Linked DNA regions of Nothobranchius furzeri. The protein of the gene in region 2 purifies or fractionates together with the protein of the main gene of each other region. This does not show direct contact. Links are inferred from orthologs where the notes say so. Each region holds a gene or a part of one and is shown on either strand. Other genes may lie near its edges.

Region 1 (11,008 bases), on a different chromosome or scaffold from region 2:
TTCCCGTTGTTTTTGACGTGATAGAAGGAAGCGTTGATTCTGGGAGACTCTCCGTGGAGAACAGCAAACTTGCTGCCGTTGGGCTCCCAGGCAAATGCGATGATGCTTTCTAAGAAGACAGGACACGAACGGATCGCATTAGATTACTTCTATAAAATAAAACGGTCAAAAATAGATGCAAAAATGCTTCTTTTTTTTGCTCTCACCCTTCATCTCCACGACATCTACAGGAACCTGCTTCTCTCTCATTCGGAAGATTTCAAAGTTGGTGACAACACCCTGGAACCGAACAGAGATGGGCCTTTTATCGTAAATCCAATAAGATATAAAGACAGTCTATCTCTGGCTGCATACCTGAGTTCCTTTGGGAGTCCTGTCCACTTTCACACACAGATAATCTCCATTTCGCTGCCAGTGCAGTTTGCAGTCAACTACATTGAAGAGATTACGAACTCTGATCTCTTGACGAGACGGCATCTGCATCAGGGTGACTCTAGCTGGGATGTCTTTGTCCTCTGGTACCCAGAACGCTATGATGTTGTCACCAGGAGACCATGAGAAGTCCCTGTGGAAAGACCAAACAAACTCGAGATTCACATCAATATAACAATAAAAGTGTAATAAGCAACAATTCATAACGAGATTAAAAACTCTTACTTGATGCCATTAATTTTGAGACTCTTCTTGTCCAACAGGCCCATTGACTGAAGGGAAAAAACACACCTTTAAAATTAGGGTTGGGCATCATTTGATTTTGAACGATTCTGATTCCAATTCCAATTCCTCGATTCAATTTCGGTTCCTATTGATTCCTGATTCGGATTCTTTCCAGACAGTCCATGTTTTCCATGAGCCAGCTAACCACAGGTCCTACTCGATGAAATAATCTTAACTTCAACATGAATTTTAACTCTATGAACAACAACACCTTCATTTAGACAAAAACATGTTTTGGAGAAAAAAGAAAAACACTTGCAGCACAACCAGTGTGTTTGTTTCTGACCACAACCAAAGTCTGGAGGAAGCCTCTGGGATGAGAGGCTGAATGTCTCCAACATATCCAGAAACGTCCAGCTGTTTTCAGCTAAAAATCTCAGGATGATCATGTCCAGGATGACTGAGAGCTACACCTCCATGCTGCTGCAGCATTCAGTCAGAACAGGAAGTGGAACTTAAATGTAGCTGCTGTCAGTAACAACCTAACAGATTTTAAACATAAAACTCAACAGAAATAGTTCAGAAAGGAAATTAAAATGTTCACAACATTGTGTGTGATTTATTATAGTTATTTATTGTGGCTGGTGTGGTCCACCACAGAGAAGCTGCTCTAGCATGACTTTAATTATTCTACAGGTTATTGTTCAGCCTTCTGACACACACACACACACACACAAACACGCGCATACACACACACGAGTGTTGGTGAGTGGCTGCGTCTGACTGCTGACGCTCCGTGTGTGTTTTTATTTCTGCAGTGAGACAAACTCACCTCACACCATCCAGAGTTTGTTCTTTAAAGCTTCTATTAAATCCACCGTGTTGACGTATTTTAACACGTTTCCTCTACGCTGCAGGAGGTAAAGTTTACGTTACGGAGTAAAAGTTCGGCAGAGGCGTTTGTTTATATTTGGCCGCTGCGTGCAGGGTGGGTGAGGGGAGGAGACTCGGTGCTGCACACAGACAGCTGGTGTGATCAGCTCTGAAAAGCGTTGATCACAGATTGCAGATCACGTTTATTTTTCACGGAGATCAGCCGCGGATTCCTCTTCCGGTCGGCATTCTAGGAATCAAAACTAGGAATCGAAATAAAAAACTTTGAACGATTCCGGGAAAAACTAACAGTTGAAACCGGTTCCAATCGATGCTCGATACCCAACCCTATTTAAAATCATAACTATTATAACTATATATATCATATTTCATTAAAAAAATGGTGCTTCTTAATTTACTTACTGGAGTTTCGTAGATGCTTAACGTGTCTGTGCTCATCCTAGCAAAGAACTTCCCATCATGGCTCCACCTGAGAGAAATCCTGTCCAGTTAAAACACACCCAAACATAAATCTGCATTTAAAATTAAAGAGAAAGAACAAAAGTAGTGTTCTGACTTAAATATGGGCCAGTGTGCCGAGCTCTCGCAGTGGAAGCCTCTCTTCTTCTGTCCAGTCAGAATGTCCCAGATGATGATAGCCTGTGGGTCCTCTTTGGTGTCCATCAGTGGACTGAAGGTGACAACATACCTGCAGGAACCAACAGCACGTTTTATAAAACTCAGTAAAATCAGTTTGGCTAATGCTACCTACAAAGCATGGTTTGTGTTTATCTTTAATGTTTTATTTCCAAGTCACTATAACTAACAAACAGGATCTGCTAAATCACTTTTTCATATTTTATTGATCATATTTTCTATTAAAAGTGTATGCTGATGTGATTCCCCGCCGGAAGAAACATTAACTGCAATAACATAAAAATAAAGATCACTTCTACAAGAAACTAGGCAGTTTTGGCTCGCTTTTAGCACCCCCTAGTGTTTGTAGAACCGAAAGCAAAACTTATCGTCTCGCTGTGCGTTCGTTCTTTTAACACCTTAATCCAACAGCTGAAATGTCTCCCCAGCTTTCATTAGAGTTTATAGGAGTGATCCATCACTAAATTAAACAAATAATCTGTGATCATTAGGGCTGGGCGATATGGACAAAAACTTATATCTCGATATTTTTTAGCTGAATTCCGATATACGATATATATCTCGATATTTTTCCTCCTGTAAAATATTTACAAGTTAACTCACTTCAAGCTGTCTTGACAAATTATAAACATAAATCAGTAGATTAAATGCATAAAAATGTACTGATTCTTGTCAAACTCTAACCTTAGTGCCTACTCTCTACCAGTCTGTGCTTTAGAAACACTGGTACAGCTGTCAGTTAACAAACACACACACACACACACACACACTTGAGAGCTGGAGGTGTATCAAATGTCCCACAGGCACTTTTTATTTATATATATTTATAATTAATGTACAATTAGTCATCTAGAGGTGGCCCATATCGTATATTTATTGCCCAGAGAAAAAAAATCTATCATGTTAAACTAGATGTATGATGATGTAATTGCATCTACTGGGTCACGCACAGTGGAGTTATTAGTTATGAGGGCAAACATGGCTGCAATCTAACAGTATTGACTCATATCAGCGATTATACTGTAGTGACTCAGTCTCTGGTTGCTCTTTTATGGGGAGGATTTGCATGCTATTGTCGCTGTAACCCACACCTTACAAACTCTGAACTTTTTCAACTGAATCGCTCGTAATGGAGTATTTACTAGCATAGCTAACCAGAGCGGAAAAAAATCAGAACAAAATTTCTCACCCGCTGAGCTCGCCTTCAAAATAAAACATTAACCCTATAGTTTACTATTCTACCCTTACAATATGTTTGAGGTGATTTGGCCACTCTGGCTACATGTAGATGTTTCCCGATTACACAGGGGAGGGAGGTGTTTGGCTCGTCTCCGCACGAGCAGGATGGATAAACAGAACTCCGTTGGCGTTGAACGTCCCCAAATAATTAAAAACCAGGACGCCAAATGCAAAGTTTAGAACAGCACATTTACCCAGAGGCTCTCAGATTGAGCAATCTTGTGAGAATAGCTGCTTAGAGACAGAGCGACATGTCCCTAGCATAGCGGCTAATCGCTAGCATAGCCGTTTGACCAGTTAAATCGATACAAAAATATTAAGTCATCTTATATCTTGTTTAATAATTATACAGATATTTAAAAAATATTGATGTATCGCCCAGCCCTAGTGTTCACGATCTAAAACATAAGGGAAAAGGTCCGGAACCAGACTGCAGCGCCAGTTATGTCAGCTCAACTTTTTTAAGTCCCAACAGAAGGAATGTTCTGGCGATAGGGTCTGGGTGGCCTTTCATTAAACCTGTAAAGGGTTATTTCAGCACACACTGGCTCAGGAAAATTATTTAAAAATATGAAGAAGCTGCAAAGTGTCCCACAGAAAGGAAAAAAAAAGTTTGGTGGAAAAAAAAAATTCTCATTACAAATATGATCAACTGAGATCAGACTTGGCAGGCTTTGTGCGGATTACCTCTCACACGGTGAGAAGTCGATGAGCGACACACCCTGATGGCTGAACCTCTGGATCTGTTTGAACTTTTCGCCGCCCCACAATGCAATACCCCGCTGATGGAAAGTAGCCAAGTAAGTGCCTTTAGGAGACCAGCGGACGTACGTCTCTGTCCAGCGCTGTATCCAAACACAAAATCGTTAGGTTTTCCTCACATCACATTAACCTGATTGCTGTTAATAATTACCACCTTACCGCTCTCTCCTCATTTATTATTGGCTCTTTAGCGTCATTTGAGAAAATGGCCGTCCTCTCTCCAGCTTCGTAGATCACACTATACTGATCACGACAGTCAGGATCCTCGATCCAGTGACGCATATTCCCCTGAACAGAGAACAAGAGCAAACTGAGGATGGAGCATAAGGACCTCACAAGAAAATAAAGAGTGGAACTCACAAAATCTTTGAAAGGCTGTTTCTCTGGAGCTTCCCACTCGTCACAAATGTTCATGTACCTAAATGTTTCAAAAAAGATGAAATGAACAACTTCAGTCAGGCTTGTGTTAGTTTAACAAATCTATTGGCCTATTCTGCAAACATACTTATCAAAGTCAGTGAAGAGGTTGACCCTGAACGTGTGCTGTTTGTCGAGTTTGTATCCATCTGCATTCTTCACAGCCTCGAGGGCCTGAGTGGGAGCGGCATACTCCAAAAATATGTACCTGCGCAGAAACACAAGTTAGGTTACACGTATTTGGATTTAAGTGTGGAGCCGTGGATAAACAACGCAAGAAAGAGACAGCTAGGTCGTACCCCTTGGTCATGCCATCAGCCTCTGGGTAAAACTCTGTGGTGATTTTGCCGAACTTGGAGAAGATCTTATGTATGACGTTTTTGAGTTTTTCCAAACGTTCTGGGCCCACCTGAGGAACATTGTCCACCACAACCACAGAGTCTATCCCATCCGCTTCCTGGGGCTTTTCCCGCAGGATGTCATCCAGGAGCTCTGCGGACAAAGAAAGATTAGTTAAGTATGTTCTATGAAACTGGCATTTTTACAGATGCAAACTGTCAAAGAATCGATGAGTATTTGATTAACTTATGTGATAAATTAAATATATATATATAATTTATACAGTCAATACTACCTCAAAACAATTAAGCTTAATTTATTCATTTAAAATTAATTATTCTTGAGAAAACGAATAATTGCCTTTCCATTGTTATTATTATTATTTTTTTTTACATGTTTTTACTTTACAATACCCCCATGTTGTGTTTCTGCAAAAGCCCAGACTAAGTTACACGTTTTGTGTAATTAGCAAATACCTGGCTTATAAACTAGGTGCAACTAGATCGCTCTTGGGAAACTTTCACAAGATTTTATTTTACTTTGGAATTTAAACATCTCATCATCTGAAACTTCTTATATTTTGACGACACATTGCTTTTACAAACTCAAGTTAATTACAATTAAATAAATAGCGTCAAAGTTTTGATTAAACAAGTGAAACTTGTGTTTAATGGAGTAAATTAACGATCACTGCTAGTAAATCTTTTACTAATTATAAAGCCGATCTTAAGTCTAAAACCCAAATAAAAGCTACTGTGGCGGGGGGCGGTTTTGTACTGCTACCAAAATTCGCTTAATGAATTTTAGGCACACCTATCTGAGCAGAAACCTTTAATTTTGCGTTTGACTGTGTAGGTAAAGTCAAGCTGCTCATTTGCAATCGCACACACTCTCCATTCAGCTACAGGAGGATTGTTCTCATGCATTCAGGTCCGTCCCTGCACGTTTTCAAATAGGCCACGCTGAGTAAGCTGTCTGGGGTCTAGGTGAGGCTAACGGGCGTAACGTGTAGCAGATAGCATCAGGGTGGGGGGCTGAGACAAAAAAATGTTGCACCACTATTTCGGTTAACGAAGCTATTATGGACTACTAAACATTTTTATCAAGTTCTGGTGGACCACCGCGTAATATTTCTACCATTTGGAGCATAACCGCTATCGGTCTCTTAGCTAATGGTTAGTTAGCACTAGGCCGGATAGCCGGCGTTTTTCCTGCTACCGCTAACCCTCGTCCTCGATGTCATCGTCGAAGTCCTCCGGATCGCTGAAGGAGGGCTCCTCCTCTTCATACTCAGGGTCGTCCACCATGGCCGCCGTGTCTTGCATCTAGCGTTAGAATAAGTCGTAATTCTCTCGACGAGGGATGAAAATCCCAAAAAATGAGAGGCTAACGAGGAGCGACCGGTGCGGCAGCATGTGCGAAAATGGACGAAGAGACGGAAACGCAGCACCGGAAGCTGCTCGCGAGCGCGTAGACGTGCCGCGGAGAAATGAGTTGTAAGGCACAAGGACCGGAAGCGCGCGGCGGTTTACATTGATGTAGCTCACCGAGTTGTTTAGAGATCAGTGAATTAGGCAGCCATATTTGTTCGACTCACTTCACGCTAAAACAGTGGAGCGACGCGCTGGCGGTGATGAATTTTTCCCGCGAGATGTGCTCAACGATCTAACTTTCATTTTGAGCGAAAAATAAAAACATTTTAATGTGTCATTAAGCAGTGCTCGTTTACAGTAATGCAGCGTTGAGCAGAAGGTCAGTGTAACGTTTATTAACACACGTTTAGTCAGTAGCATGGACCGAGAGTGTGTGACAGTCCTGCCGCGGGTGTGTGAGGTGCTAGCAGCCTCAGGAAGCTCTCTGCCCGATGATACCAGTCTGGAGAAACTCCTGGACTGGTTCACAGCGCTCACCAAGGATGGTCAGTAACAACCTGGAGGGCTTGTGCTCCAGTAGTCACTCAATGTATAAATTACTTTCTCCTACTGCTGATTATTCATTGGTTGGCTATTTATTTATTTATTTATTGTGAACTAATTTTAAATAAAGTAAAATGGAGATGTTTAATTTAAAACAGCCTAATGGATGCAAATAAGGCTGGAAGATAACTGGCAAGCACTCCTATTTGTTTTTCTATTAGATTATAGCGAGTTTCTCTATTAAAATTATATTCAGATAGTCCTAATTAATGTTATATGTCAATAATTAATGTCATAAATGACATTAAAAATACCTAAAGTAACATTCTCCCTTGTACAAAGGACACATGTCTAAGTCAGTTGAAATTGCATTTGGTGAAAGTCTGTAGATACGGAACTGGAGAATAGGTATTACCAAACAGATTCTCTTGAAACCTAACTGAATGTGTTGTTTTCAGATCTAGTTTTCCACAGCTAAGTGTCTAAGTGACACCTTTTTGTTTTGTAATGTCACCTGATGAAGGAGTCTCTCTGCTGGAGGCCTTCCCCTGTCTGCTTGATTTCATACCGACCGTAGTTAACAACAGCCCTGCCTCAGATGCCAGCATCCTCTCCTTCACGCTGAAACTCACCGGCCTAATCTCAGCTACTGAGAATGGCTTTAAAGTTCTTCAGGTAAGTCTCGTAACTCCTGTAATCACTATTCAATTCAATTCAAGTTTATTTATATAGCGCCAAATGACGACAAGAGTCGTCTCAAGGCACTTCACATAATAAACCTGGTCAGGTCAGTTCATTAAGCCAATCAGAAATAATTTTTCATACATAAGGAACCCAGCAAATTGCATCAAGTCACTGACTAGTGTTAGTGACTTTACAGCAATCCTCATACTAAGCAAGCATAAAGCGACAGTGGAGAGGAAAACTCCCTTTTAACAGGAAGAAACCTCCAGAGAATCCTGGCTCAGTATAAGCAGCCATCCTCCACGACTCACTGGGGATCGAGAAGACAGAGCAGGCACACACACACACACACACACACACACACACACACACACACACACACACACACACACACACACACACACACACACACACACACACACACACACACACACACACACACACACACACACACACACACACACACACACCAAGTAGTGTGTCTATAGTTATATTGTGATGTCTTAGTAAATATTCTATTTGGTGAAAGATAAACTTTATTGTATTTGTCCTAGTGGATCTATAATTAAACGGATAAACTAGTAGTAGCACATTCAATGTCAAGGAAAGCAAAAAGTTATTCTCAAACTAAAAGTTACTAAACGGTGTTAAGCTGCCTGTGATGGAGCCTCTCTGTTTTAGGAGCACTCTTTGTGTGACCTGGTGTTTGACCCTCAACGCTGGCAGGAGGCTGGGCTCTGGAAGGATCCTTGTATACGGATAGGTTGGATCCAAGGCTTAAGGACGATGCTGCAGCATTCAAAAGCTCTTGGCTTCTTTGTGCAAGCAGGTACTGATCACTCTCTGAGCAGATGTTTAAATTTCAGATAGAGATTTTTCTCTTTTTATTAAGTAATTTACATCTCCATGTTTTCCTTCTTCAGATTTGATTGAACCACTCCTACACCTTCACACAGACACAAGCCTATTTGTTGCTTCGGCTGCTAATCACATGCTCGCTCACATCTTGCTCTTCTGTCAGTCTGAAAACTCCCAAAACAACTCAAAACACCTGACTGTTCCCGTGGAAACCAAACAGAATTACAGCACTGTTACCGTGAAGCTTTGCGAGTATCTCAAGAAGTCACTAGTTCTCGACGGAACTTCAGCACTGTTTCAGAGTCATCAGGCTCTCAAAGTGCTCGCCCTGCTCCTGAGCCGGGCCGGGCCAGATCTGAGGGACCGACTGCTGCTGACGGTCTCAGACTCTCTGGAGGAACTGGTGACGACCAACTGCAGCCAGCTCACTCGGTCTCTGATGGATGTTGTTCAGGCTGCACACAGGTGTGCCTCTCTCTGCATGCTTAATGTGTGACTTCATGCACAATGCTTCAGCGTTTTCACCTCCTTCTGCTTGTCTCAGCAGCAGTAAAAGTGAGCATCATGCCTTGAACCAGCGTGTTGATCGCCTTTTGTCCATCATGTTGAACACGGGGAAACCTGCGGACCTCTCTTACACTGCAGCTGCTTTTCTCCGCAGCGGGCATGAGTAAGCTTCACACAGCACAGCTTGACCTTCTGCACTGAGCTGTTGGTTCACCAGTAGAAACCATTAGTGTTTAAAGGTGATAGTGACATGTATCGTTCTCCCCCAGTGACTGTGTCCATAAAGCTCAAGCTGCTAGAGTTCTGCTGCTTCCTCTTGACATCATTACTGGACTCAGTCTGTTGGGACAAAACAGCACAGGTAACCCTTACAGGTGTGTGCATTTTAAGACCGAAATATACTTCATGAATTCTTCCCAATTGTTACTGCAGCAGACAAGCTTCGCCTTCCAATGATGGAGTATCTCAAGAGTAAATCTTCCTGCATCTCCATGATTTGTGCCAGTCTAGCAAACACTCCACAGATCACACTCATGGTGAGTTGAAGGACCAGATAGTGAGGCCATCTAATTCTTAGAAAAGTCTCTTAGGTTTTTCTGTCTCTCCTCCTCAGGATCCCGACTGCCTCCCCTGTCCACCAGTTTTAATTGTATCTGCAGTTTTGTCATTATTGAGGCTCTGCAATGGAGACGGCTCCTCGTCCAGTGGCTGTGCTGAAGCTGGCAGGAACCTTATAGGCAGCGGAAAAGTTCAGAAATGTGCTCTTGATGTTCTGTCGGTCCTCAGCAACAGCTCAGGTACGACAACGGGACAATGTCCAAATGTTCAGGTCCAAACAAATCTTCTGTAACTTTAAACTGTTTCTGCTTCAAGCTGGTTACAAATTTTAAAGGGGACATATTTTGACTTTTTTCTTAAGTTGTATTAATACTTTGGTCAATACAAATCATGTTGAAGAAGTATAAAATCACTCACATAAAGCAGTTTCAGCAGTTCTTGACAGTTTCAGTACCTTCCAGAATGAGCAGTTTCAGGGCTCTGTCACTTTAAGAAAACAAGCTGGAGCTGGCCACGCCCCCCCCCCCCCCACTTTGGCTGCTATTGACCCTTTGCACGTGACATCACGTCTCTCACGAACAGCAGAGAAACTTTGTAGGCATGTTGAAACTCCTGTGAAGCTAGCCTAAACAAGCTAGTTTGTAGCCTTTCATCATCAACAGTTTGCTGCAAAGTTGGCTGCATTATCAAGACAAGGACGTAAACCCATATTGTCCCTCTTTAAAGGGATATTCCACTCAAAAGTGAAAATTTATAAGAACATCACGCAGTGGCTCTAAAGACACCTACTTCCATAACACATTATGTTTGTAATTCGAGAAAATGTACCAGCATTTAGCAGTGTCACGCCAACCCATGTCCTTGCGCCTATTGGCGAAAGCTTATAAATGAACTCTATCATTAAGTAGTCCCAAGTCTGAAATAACGCCTGGAATTCCTTTGTGTTCATTTTATTTCAACATGCAGTTAAGTTAAGTCATGGATGGCGACTAACTTCCTCTTCCTAAATGATTCTAAAACTGGTGTAATAATACCCGGCCCTGGTGAGAGAGCTGGAGCAGGTGATGAGATTGATCTTGATTCCATGACACAATGTCAGAAGAATGTGGTCACTAATTTAGGGGTGAAAATTGATGCACCCCTTTGATTTGATGCACAAATAAACATGGTTGTTCGAGCATGTTTTTTTAATCTGAGACGGCTGTCCAAGACAAAGCCTCTCCTGTCCAGAGTACATCTGGAAACAGCAGAACATGCTTTTATCATGCCCACATCGACTACTGTAATGCATTGTATGCTGGACTGAGTCAAGCTACTACTGCACGACTCCCGCTAGTCCAAAACTCCGCTGCGAGATTTGTGACTGGGACCAGAAGGAGAGACTACATCATGCCAGTGGTAGCTTCTAAGCACTGGCTACCGGGGCAAGATTTAAGATTCTCCTCTATGTGATCAGGGTGCTGCAGGGCAGTGCTCCCCCATATCTTGCTGAACTGTTGCAGCGGCGTGTCCCCACTCGGGCTCTTCGCTCTGCTGAGCAG
Region 2 (11,008 bases):
TCACAGCTAGGCTAGATGCTAGTAGATTGGTGGTGAAAAGGGGAAATTATTCTTGTGAGGTGTTGATTATGTTGCCTAGTGGATGGAGGTGTCAAGCCACAGATATTAAAAATAATAATAGAATGATCAGAGATACATGCAGAGTCAAAAGTCAGATCCGAGATACAGATCCCAAATGACAAAACCAAGTCTAAAACGTGCGATCCTGAATGGGTGGGTGACTGGACCTGTTGCTGGAGACCAAAACAATCTAAAATGTCTAAAAAGCCACCAACAAGAGGTTTGTCAGGGCAGCAAACATGTATATTAAAATCACCAAGCATAATCCCACGGTCATATTTTGGAAGAAAGTCTGTTAAAAGATCAGAAAATTCCGATAGAAAGTTGGAATTGTAGTTCGGTGGGCGACAGCAGAGAATAAACAGCAGCGGAGGACTGAAGTCCACCTCATAAGCCATAATAGTAAGTTTTTTAGTCACAAACTAAATCCCCTTTCATGCAACGTGTTCCAGGAAGTTTCTGAAATCCTATTTGAATGTTTTTCTGGTAGAAACTCTGCCTGGGTCAGCGTTAGCGCCCCCGGCTGCAGCAGCGCCCCTGTCCCAGCGCGACATGGCTGAGGAGCTGAGCCGGCAGCTGGAGGACATCCTCAGCACGTACTGCAGTGAAACCATTTCAGACGAAGCCAGTGCCTTGCTCAACGGTCAGTCTCACAGCCCAGTTTTCAACGGGCTGATGTGTGAGAAGGATGGAGACAACCCAAAGGCAGAAAAAGTCAACGGGGGTCACAGCGGTGCTGAGAAAGAGCAGAAGAAGAGTCAAGACAAGAAGAAAGTGAAGGGCCTGGGTGAGGAACTGAACTGTGTTAAATGTTCTGTAGGCCCGTTATTTTCCTTCACCTAACAGCTTCTGTTGTCTTGATCCAATCAGGCAAAGAGATCACCGTTCTCATGCAGACGTTAAACACGCTAAGCACGCCGGAGGAAAAGCTGGCAGGTCTCTGCAAGAAGTACGCCGACCTGGTGAGTACGCTTCTGTCCTGTGTGCGTCTCCGTGCTGCATTTCTGCTGTCAAGTGCAACTGACAGCAGGTTCACCACAACTTGTACCATCTTGTACGTGATCCTCGCTGTTCTAAAGGAAGAAGCCATGTTTGACCGCATGTGTAATGTTCTCAGCTGGAAGAGCATCGTAACTCTCAGAAACAGATGAGGGTGCTGCAGAAGAAGCAGAGTCAGCTGGTGCAGGAGAAGGACAACCTGAGGAACGAACACAGCAAAGCCATCTTGGCCCGCAGCAAACTGGAGAGTCTCTGCAGGGAACTGCAGAGACACAACCGCACCCTCAAGGTAGCGAGTGCTCCACCTCTGTGCAGGTGCAGCTGCTGCGTGTCATGTTTACGTTTTCATGTCTGCAGCAGCTTTTTAAGCATTCTTCCCTTTTTTAAGTTGGTTCTCACCTCTGCAGGAAGAAGGAGTCCAGAGAACGCGGCTGGAGGAGGAGAAACGGAAGGAGGTGACGTCTCATTTCCAGTCGACGCTGAACGACATCCAGGCTCAGATGGAACAGCACAACGAGAGGAATGCCAGCCTCCGCCAAGAAAACGCTGAGCTGGCAGAGAAACTCAAGAAGCTCTACGAGCAATACAAACTACGGGAGGAGGTCAGCAGGCCGCCTAGCTCCTTTCTGTTTGGCTCCTCGTGTGGATGTGTGTTGACCTCCATCTCATGTCACCCTGGCAGCACATAGACAAGATGGTGAAGCACAAAGACCTGCAGCAACAGCTGGTGGATGCCAAACTGCATCAGGCGCAGGAGCTGCTGAAGGAGTCGGAGGAGCGCCACGACAGAGAGAAAGACTTTGTGAGTTTCTGTTTGTATGGTTCTGCGTCTGATGTCTCTGGTAGTTTCGCATAAGACTAACATCCAGTTTGTTGTAACTCTTTAGCTTCTGAAGGAAGCTGTGGAGTCTCAGAGGATGTGTGAGCTAATGAAGCAGCAGGAGGTCCACCTCAAACAGCAGGTCTCTCTTAAGCTCACTCTTCAGAGTCTCTGCAAAGCAGCTGTCGTCTCACTTCTGCTGTTTTACCTCCCAGCTGTCTCTGTACACCGAGAGGTTTGAGGAGTTCCAGACCACGCTGTCTAAGAGTAACGAGGTCTTCACCACCTTCAAACAGGAGATGGAGAAGGTGGGTGGTTGTGAGGAGAACGTGGATAATTCTGTTGGGTCTACCTGCTCAAACAGGAGCCGTGCTTGCTTTGGGTTCACAGATGACTAAAAAGATTAAGAAGCTGGAGAAGGAGACGACGATGTATCGCTCGAGGTGGGAGAGCAGCAACAAGGCGCTGCTGGAGATGGCTGAGGAGGTAAAGCAGCTCCTGGAGTTTGGATTTGGTTCTCACAGATCTAGAGTGTTCAGAGTAAGGTCGGGCCACTTTGCCGACAGGGTTGGGCGTGTGACGTCATGACACACGGACTGATTTGCGAACCCAGTAGAAGACCGAAACAGATTTTTTTTATGGACACGCGCAGCACGTGTGTTTGCTGGAAGATAATTTTATATTTTTCTTTTTGTTTAACTTTGTATTTGTAGTTTGGTAGAGACGTATAAACGGCCCGTAATAAACACGGTTAAATGTTCAACAGAAGCCTTGCCTTTGCTTCCCTGCGGTGCCCACTGTTGTGGTTTTCATTTAAGCTAAATGTTTCCGTCGGAACAAGAACTTGTGGGGTTCTTTCTTTAGTAAGTAGGGATAAGATCACACCTCAGACAGCTGCGCTTCTCTTCATGCCAATGATGTGCGTTAAACAAGGATCTGACCACGACTGTAGACTCCGTGAAGGCTTTTGCCATCTTCACCCTTTCCTTAACCATTTGGTTGACATGGCAACAATAGGTCAGGGGTCACTGCATGATCACCCACTGCTGTTCCCAGCTGTTTAGATTCAGTTCCACTTTGTTGGAAAACTTTGAGACTTTAGTAGCTGGTTATTTAAAAAGCCACAGCTGTTGACCACGCATCACGACGTTCTGACGCTAGCGCCTTCCGAACTGTTGTTTCACGTGTGATTGAGTCCCAAGCTTCTGTTTCTATTCCCAGAAATCTGTGCGAGATCGGGACTTCGACGCGTTGCAGGGTAAAGTCCAGCGGCTCGAGAAGCTGAGGCGGGCACTTAAGGTGGAGCGAAACGAGCTAAAGAAGAAGGTCCAGAACCTCGGTGGGGCCGCAGGACCCCACACCTCTGACCCAGGGACTGACTCCCCCTCCCCGCCTCCCACGGACTGTCCGCTGGAGGCCAGCACCTGTCCTGTACCAGACAGCTCCTCTGACTCCCCACCTTGCCACTGTGAGCCACAGCTGGACACAGTTGCACTCCCAGAAGAGGCAAACTCCCCACCTGTCCCTGTTCTTGTCCCTGCACAGGAATAAAGCAGGACTGCTTCGTCTCCTCCTCCCTTTCAACGTCCAACCACCAGCCTACAGGCCGCTGGAGCAGCTGATGTTCAACGCTGAGCTGGAATCAGATTTACACCAGATGAGTCCAACAGAAGGGTTAACGTGTGTCCTCCCAGCGTCATCTGCAGACGGGCTTCCTTCACCCCATCCTCTCCAGCTGAAACTAAGCTAGTTCAGATCATTTTATTACAATAACTAGAGTTGTTGCTGAAGGCTTTACTGAGCTGTGTGGGAGGACACCACCTAAGCAGGTTTACCACAGGTGTGTGTGTGTGTGTGTGTGTGTCTTAAGTGTTGTTTTCTTCCATCTCTACCATTCCTTCCTTTAAGTAAGAGCTGTGTGGGACTGTTGAGGGAAGCTTTTCAGTCCAGCCTTTTATCCTTTTTTTATTATGATTTTTTTTGGCAGAGTAAATCCTGGATTATTAAAGAACGTTTTAGAACTAAAACGTTTGAACTCTTATTCATTTGTGTAGTGTTTAAATGTGAGTCTGTATTTATTGTTGAAATCATACAGTCACTGATATCGGGGGTTAAAATAAAGGATATTTTCATTTAAGCTGATCATTTTCATTCATTTTACTCCAAATTTGTCATCCTTACCTCTCCTGGGTTATGTTGCACATTACCAGTTTAGTTATTAGTATTAGCACTTTTATCTCATTTAACTCCATCTTTGTTCCGTGTGTGTGTGGGATGTACCTGTTTATATCTGTGATGGTCCTGGGAACGGCAAAGGCTTCTGGTCAGGTTTATTCTAAAGAATGTCAAAGTTCCTCTATGCAACGCTTGCATCTTGGTTTTATTCTGTGGCCTCGACCCACGAGCACTTAGCTGAGAATGTAATCTCATCATATCCACTGTTCTGCATAAATGTGTCGGGGACGACATATCTCACAGTTTAAGGCCTTTTTCTTCCAAGGGGTTGATACTTTTACATTGGGTGCTTTTGAAATGTGCATTGATCTGAGCCAAGTGAGAAAACTGAGAGGAGAAGTCTAATTTGATTTGGTTTCCTCCAAACACACGCCTGTTTCCCCTGTGCACTACATATGTAGTTTCGACAAAGCAATGCCATCCGAAACAGAAATGCAAATGTTTTTCAGTCTACCATAGGATGTATTCACTGTACTGTTTACTTTTCATATAAACCAAAGATGTCTCCCTGTTGTAGTTTATCTTTTGCAGTATGTTATTTTCTGGCCCTGATTTTAAATAAAATTAGAGTATGTCTGATTTTCTGGCAGATTATTTTTTACAGTGAATTATTTGTGTCATAATGAGAATTTTGAGAACTATGGAGATAATTTATTGTGATTTTTGAGATTTTGTGTCACCATATTTCCAGAATGAAGGGCACAGGACTAATTTTTCTTTTTAAATACTGTATTTGATGACCTTCAAAAAGAATCCAATAAAATCACTGTCAGAAAAGTAAATTTAAGTGACAGAAACTAAACGTAATAAAAGAAACTGGTGAGGAAGGAGTGGTTTCGTGACTGACAGAAATGCAAAATGATTTACAACTTATACAGGAGGGTGGCATGTTATCATACATTATGTTGATAAATATCATGTATGTAGCAGTATTCGGGATTAAATATTCACAAATGAGCTGATAAGGAGCAGGACTGAAACGAGCACAAGTTTGGGATCAAATTACTTTATTTTCTAGATTCCAGAAAGTCCTTCATACCACATTTGTCCAGGAGGGGGCGGCAGGTCGTCCATCTGCGGTTAATACCATCGAAGAAGAAAATGGAAGCCTTCTCTTCCGCCACAGCTCCGGTGTCTGACACATGAGGGTTTAACTTTTCTCCCATTGTGAGGCGCAGCAAATTGACTAAAGCATCTGGAAACACCTAGCTGACGACAATGGTTGGTATATTTATTTACAAGGCAATGTTTACCTGGCGGTTTTCAGTTTTTGTTCTTTAGCTTGTCGCTGTAGTTTGGGGTTTTACTTTGTCTGTTGTGGCTAGCTATAGCTTTTCACGTTAGCTAATGTACATATTCATTTTGGCAGAAGTCTTGAGTTAGCTAAGCTATGAAAGAGATTTCTGTGACTCGTATAGTGTTGGTGCTTTACGCCTAGGCAAGTCAAAGCTACGTTATTCTTTCTTTTTTCAATTAAAACAGTCATGTGTAAATGCTAGCTTAATCTGAACCGTTATCGGTGTTTCTAGAAACCCATTTTGCTCCAGGGCCACGAGAGGTCCATCACACAAATCAAATACAACAGAGAAGGAGATCTGCTCTTCTCGGTGGCTAAAGATACAGTGAGTTGGTACACACTCGCTCTTCTGTCGGATCATTCAACACGACGTTTGGGAGCAGCCAAACTCATCCCTGCTGTTCTGCTGCTATCCAGGTTGCCAACGCGTGGTACTCTGTGAACGGAGAGAGGCTCGGGACCTACAATGGACACACCGGAGCTGTGTGGTGTGTTGACTGTGACTGTATCCTTTGCACCTCTGCCTAATGTAAGCTAGGGGTGTCTGTCAGTGAAGTTAGGCATCTTAACTAGTTGTCTCAGGGGACACAAAGAACGTGTTAACAGGATCAGCAGACAACAGCTGCAGGCTGTGGGACTGTGAGACTGGTAAGTAAACCTTAACAATGTGCTTTTCCAAAGAGGTGGACATGATTTTTAGGGTATTGGGATAGTTTGTAAACCTGACATCATGCTGTCTAAATGACATCTTTAATGTGTTTTCACAGGTAAACAGCTGGCTCTGCTCAACACCAACTCTGCCGTCAGGACGTGTGGGTTCGACTTCAGCGGCAACATCATCATGTTCTCCACCGACAAGCAGATGGGTTACCAGTGCTTCCTGAACTTCTTTGACCTGAGGGATCCACAGCAAATAGGTAAACATTAAATGCGCAAACACACACACGCACACATGTTCTGCAATGGTGTGGCCACAGTATATGGACTGGATATATACCATTTTAAACAAACTTTCTTACACTTTTTGCAATTTTTAATGTCAGTCAGACACCTAAATAAAGTTAATTTAGACCAATCCTGGTCCTGGAGGGCCGGTATCCTGCATGTTTTAGTTTGAACTCTGTTTCAATACTCCTGATTTCAATCAGCAGCTAATTAGCGGTCTTTTGCAGCGCCTGATGAGCTGCTGCACAGGTGTTTCAACCACTGAATCAAGTCTGTAGGAGCAGAAAAACCACAAAACCTGTTGGATACCGGTGTCGGCACAGGATCTGCTCGGGTGCAAAATTGGCTCAGGGTCCGTCGACTGCCGATGACGTCTAAGTAGTTGATTGGCTGCACATGAACCTTACGGAATTACGTAATCACGTTACGTTGTTATCACGTTACGTTGGTCCAGGCAAATCTTTCTGTTGGAAAGATGGACAACTTTTACAAAGAAATCCATCATTACCTCTTTGAAAATACACTTTGAGCATAGAGCTGCATGTATATTAGGGCTGAACGATTAACTGCATGTGTAATTAAATTGCGATGTGACAAAAGGAGATTTTCTAATCGCAAAGGCTGCAATTTGGCAGCGAGTGGTTAGCGCAATGCTAATATACATGGAAAAACCCATAGGAATGCTAATGCTAATATCGCCGATTACATGATCAAATTATGAATTAGAAACGTGCCAAATGATTACATTTGGAGTCTAATAGAAAGTAAAAATACCATCAATCAAATAAGTACAGACAGGTATTTTAGTAAAGCCAGAAAACTTTTAACTCCAGAGTTTTGGCTAGCAGCTATGAGCGTAATGAACTACGCATGGACAAGACGTCAAAAACTCTAAACACAAAATACTTCAATAAATGGGACACACTTCTTTCCTGCAAATACAATTTCACAGGTGTTGCTAATACCTATGATTCTTCAAGGGATGTGCTCAAAGAGGAGTTCAACATCATGACTACAATATAGTGTTTTATTTTACAAATACCATTATAAACACAAACTTACGTCTTAAGAAACATTATTTTAATAAGGAAACTGCTAAATTCTTTCCAACAGTATAGATGTGTACTGTATTTTGTCCGAGTGGGTTTGCCGTACTTTGACGTCATCGGCAGTCGAAGGACCCCGAGCCGATCTTGTACCGACACCGGCCCTCCAGGACCAGGATTGGGCACCCCTGATTTAGAGTATTTATTATGCAGATGTTATTAGTGAATGTTGGGGAAAAAATTTGAATTAAATTCTGCAACAGCACCAGGGTGACTATAGATGTGCCTGACTTTAAATCAGCTTTACTAAGAAAAAACAGCCGATGAATAAAAAACTAAACATTGGCCAACCAATATAATCGGTCCACCCCTAATTCACTCATTCCTTTATTCCATGTAGCAGCTCAGTGGTCACTGTTTTTCAAAATTGCATTGATTCATGTACCAGACTATTAGACGAAGAAATAAGTTAAGATCGTCTAGCCTAGTGAACTAGACCAAATTCTTGCCTTGTAATGTTTGGTGTGGGAACGCTCCACCGGAACTTCTGAGGCCTCCTAGCAGCATTCTGGCAGATGTGTTTTAGTCTTTTATTTAGAAAAAGGATGTATTTTTGCCGCCTTCAACGGCAGACATCCTTGTTTACAGAGGTTGCGGTGAGTACTCCACGTTGTTCGTTGTCCAGTAGGGTGCAATGATTGTTTGAAAGACAACGGTAGAACCCGCCCCACGACAGGCAATGGAACATTAAATAATATTATGGATTTAGTCTGGCGTGCCAGGCTAAAGAACATCCAAAATATCTCAATTTAGAGACTATTTTAAGCTAAAGAAGGTCATAAAAGTGCCAACTATGCTTCTGTTGAAACACACGTAGATTTCCTCAATAACACGTGTGCAGCAACTTTTCCCACACTGAAACATTTCAAAATGAATTGACATGTTTTGTGCACGTGTCCTGAATCAAGTTGAAGATGGTGTGATGTAGGGTCGTCACGGTGTGAAAATGTAGCCTCGCGGTTATCGTAACCAAAATGAAAACGGTATTATCGCGGTATTTTTTTAAACGTGTTACATTTTCAGACAACTAAATAAACCCTGTATGTCAGGAAAATATTGTCCTCAGTTTGTGTCTAAATTTTGCCTAAAACGTGTTATTTTGTAATTATGTTGTTTATTTGTTTACATTTTTCCCCTTTAGTCTTTAAAATACCAATATTTGCCCATAACTTCAAAATTTTTTGTCTGTTTGATGTCATCATTTTAAAAATATTAGACCAGATGATACTCAGTACTCAAGTAGCCTTCTAATCAGATACCGTATTTTCACGACCATAGGGCGCACCGGGTTATAGGGCGCGGGCATGGGCACGTTCAAACGTACCGGTGTCGGTACAGGATCTGCTCGGGTGCAAGATCGGCTCGGGGTCCTTTGACTGCCGATGACGTCAAAGTACGGCAAACCGACTCGGACAAAATACACTACACATCTATACTGTTGGAAAGAATTTAGCAGTTTCGTTATTAAAATAATGTTTCTTAAGACGTAAGTTTGTGTTTATAATGGTATTTGTAAAATAAAACACTATATTGTATTCATAATGTTGAACTCCTCTTTGAGCACATCCCTTGAAGAATCATAGGTATTAGCAACACCTGTGAAATTGTATTTGCAGGAAAGAAGTGTGTCCCGTTTATTGAAGTATTTTGTGTTTAGAGTTTTTGACGTCTTGTCCATGCGTAGTTCAGTTACGCTCATAGCTGCTAGCCAAAACTCTGGAGTTAAAAGTTTTCTGGCTTTACTAAAATACCTGTCTGTACTTATTTGATTGATGGTATTTTTTACTTTCTACTAGACTCTAAATGTAATCATTTGGCACGTTTCTAATTCATAATTTGTAATAATGTAATCGGCGATATTAGCATTAGCATTCCTATGGGTTTTTCCATGTATATTAGCATTGCGCTAACCACTCGCTGCCAAATTGCAGCCTTTGAGATTAGAAAATCTCCTTTTGTCACATCGCAATTTAATTGCACATGCAGTTAATCGTTCAGCCCTAATATACATGCAGCTCTATGCTAAAAGTGTATTTTCAAAGAGGTAATGATGGATTTCTTTGTAAAAGTTGTCCATCTTTCCAATAGAAAGATTTGCCTGGACCAACGTAACGTGATAACAACGTAACGTGATTACGTAATTCCGTGAGGTTCATGTTCAGCCAATCAACTACTTAGACATCATCGGCAGTCGACGGACCCCGAGCCGATCTTGCACCCGAGCAGATCCTGTACCGACACTGGTAAAACATTGTGCGGGCTCGGAGCATATCAGTGCAAACCAGACATTGTGAAAATTATAAACAGCCAAATAATGCTTCACTTTACTGGTCTAGTCCTGGTTTAGAGCGCACGTGCACTTCCTCATTGCGTGTGCTGACGGCTCGTGCTCTTCTAATGGGCTCGACACACGGGAGGCAACTTTGCCTCTCCATTCATTTTCAATGAGACACGCGCGACAAAGCGATAATCGCGTGTCTCCCTCCTGTTACAGCCGGGCGTACACCGGGTGTTCTAAGTACAACCAATGTAATAAAAATGACTCAACGTTCTTCAGCTCAAGAGGTGTCGTGTTTATTTCTCAGCCCGCCGAACTCCTTCTAAACTCCTCCCACTTCAGGCAAGTCTTAAAGGCATACACACTGTATCTATTCACATGACATCTCCCCTCCTTTGAGTCAGAGACGGTGTAAACAGAGTATGTGAAAGAACAAAGTACATCTTTTCCTCAAAGCATTGGAACCCTCTGCAACAGCAACCGACAGTAGGAACATAACATAGATGCTTTTAACCAAAGAGTCAATCACAATAATTACAAACGATCACCCAACACTTTTTTTTTTTTCTTTCTTTTACATGAGAGAAAAAAAAATGGAGGCAACAGGCAACCATACATGCGTCGTTGGGGTGATGGGGTGGACTACCCAAACACCCTTATAGCGGCCGGAGGTTATTCTGCTCCATTTAGGCCGGCTATACGGTTCAATAACAAACAAAGTCCTTGAGCCTCCTGGGGGGCCAAATGACTCTGCCTGTAGAAGACATCCGAGCTGATCCTGGAGGACAATCAGAAAGGCCTGCTGGGACGGTCCCTTGGGCAGGCGAAACAGACTCTTCAGTAGGTGAGGCAGCCCCTCTAACCGGGGAGCCTAAAGGTGTGGGTTGGGGTGTTGATGATGGTGGTGGTGGCTGATCTGCCACACCAGGAAGGAATATTGGTCGTAGATGGCGCCGGTTCCTCCGCAGTGTCCCATGTTCTGTCTGGATCAGGTAGGACCTCGGAGCTGGATGTGGTTGTTGGACCGTTGCCACAGATGTCCAGCCAGAATCACCATCAAGTTTCACCGCCACATCCTGCCCAGGTGTAAGGGGTGGGAGTGCTCTGGCACCATGGCGTCGGTTGTAGGCACGTTCGTAGCTCCTTTTCGCCTTGGCATCGGCTGCACGCACCTTTGCGAAGTTGGGCCACTTAGGCAGCAGAACCTTACCGATTGTAGGTACAGTCGTCTTGATCTGACGACCCATCATCAGCTGGGCAGGACTGGC

What was found. The genes of interacting proteins can lie anywhere in the genome.
Region 1: the proteins of eif3i (region 2) and eif3ba purify together in Homo sapiens (affinity purification with mass spectrometry; 12 studies listed by BioGRID and IntAct, counting the BioPlex papers as one, with this or other methods). This does not show direct contact. The link is inferred for Nothobranchius furzeri from reciprocal best matches to the Homo sapiens genes EIF3I and EIF3B.

Annotation. Positions count from the first base shown.
Region 1 is NC_091744.1:16,236,067-16,247,074, forward strand, and holds the start of eif3ba (eukaryotic translation initiation factor 3 subunit B), read right to left. Parts: upstream 6,399-11,008; 5' UTR 6,270-6,398; coding exon 6,170-6,269; intron 5,098-6,169; coding exon 4,905-5,097; intron 4,814-4,904; coding exon 4,694-4,813; intron 4,607-4,693; coding exon 4,549-4,606; intron 4,477-4,548; coding exon 4,348-4,476; intron 4,272-4,347; coding exon 4,114-4,271; intron 2,240-4,113; coding exon 2,108-2,239; intron 2,021-2,107; coding exon 1,954-2,020; intron 705-1,953; coding exon 658-704; intron 566-657; coding exon 355-565; intron 280-354; coding exon 207-279; intron 110-206; coding exon 1-109. Other genes in the region: brat1 (BRCA1-associated ATM activator 1), read left to right, coding at 6,736-6,862, 7,384-7,535, 8,226-8,373, 8,468-8,867, 8,947-9,072, 9,179-9,270, 9,342-9,445, 9,523-9,706.
Region 2 is NC_091751.1:3,235,822-3,246,829, forward strand, and holds the start of eif3i (eukaryotic translation initiation factor 3 subunit I), read left to right. Parts: upstream 1-5,195; 5' UTR 5,196-5,332; coding exon 5,333-5,335; intron 5,336-5,643; coding exon 5,644-5,736; intron 5,737-5,828; coding exon 5,829-5,916; intron 5,917-5,993; coding exon 5,994-6,059; intron 6,060-6,178; coding exon 6,179-6,328; intron 6,329-11,008. Other genes in the region: txlna (alpha-taxilin), read left to right, coding at 551-847, 931-1,022, 1,178-1,348, 1,467-1,661, 1,742-1,861, 1,947-2,021, 2,095-2,187, 2,270-2,365 and 1 more. UniProt on the Homo sapiens protein: Component of the eukaryotic translation initiation factor 3 (eIF-3) complex, which is required for several steps in the initiation of protein synthesis.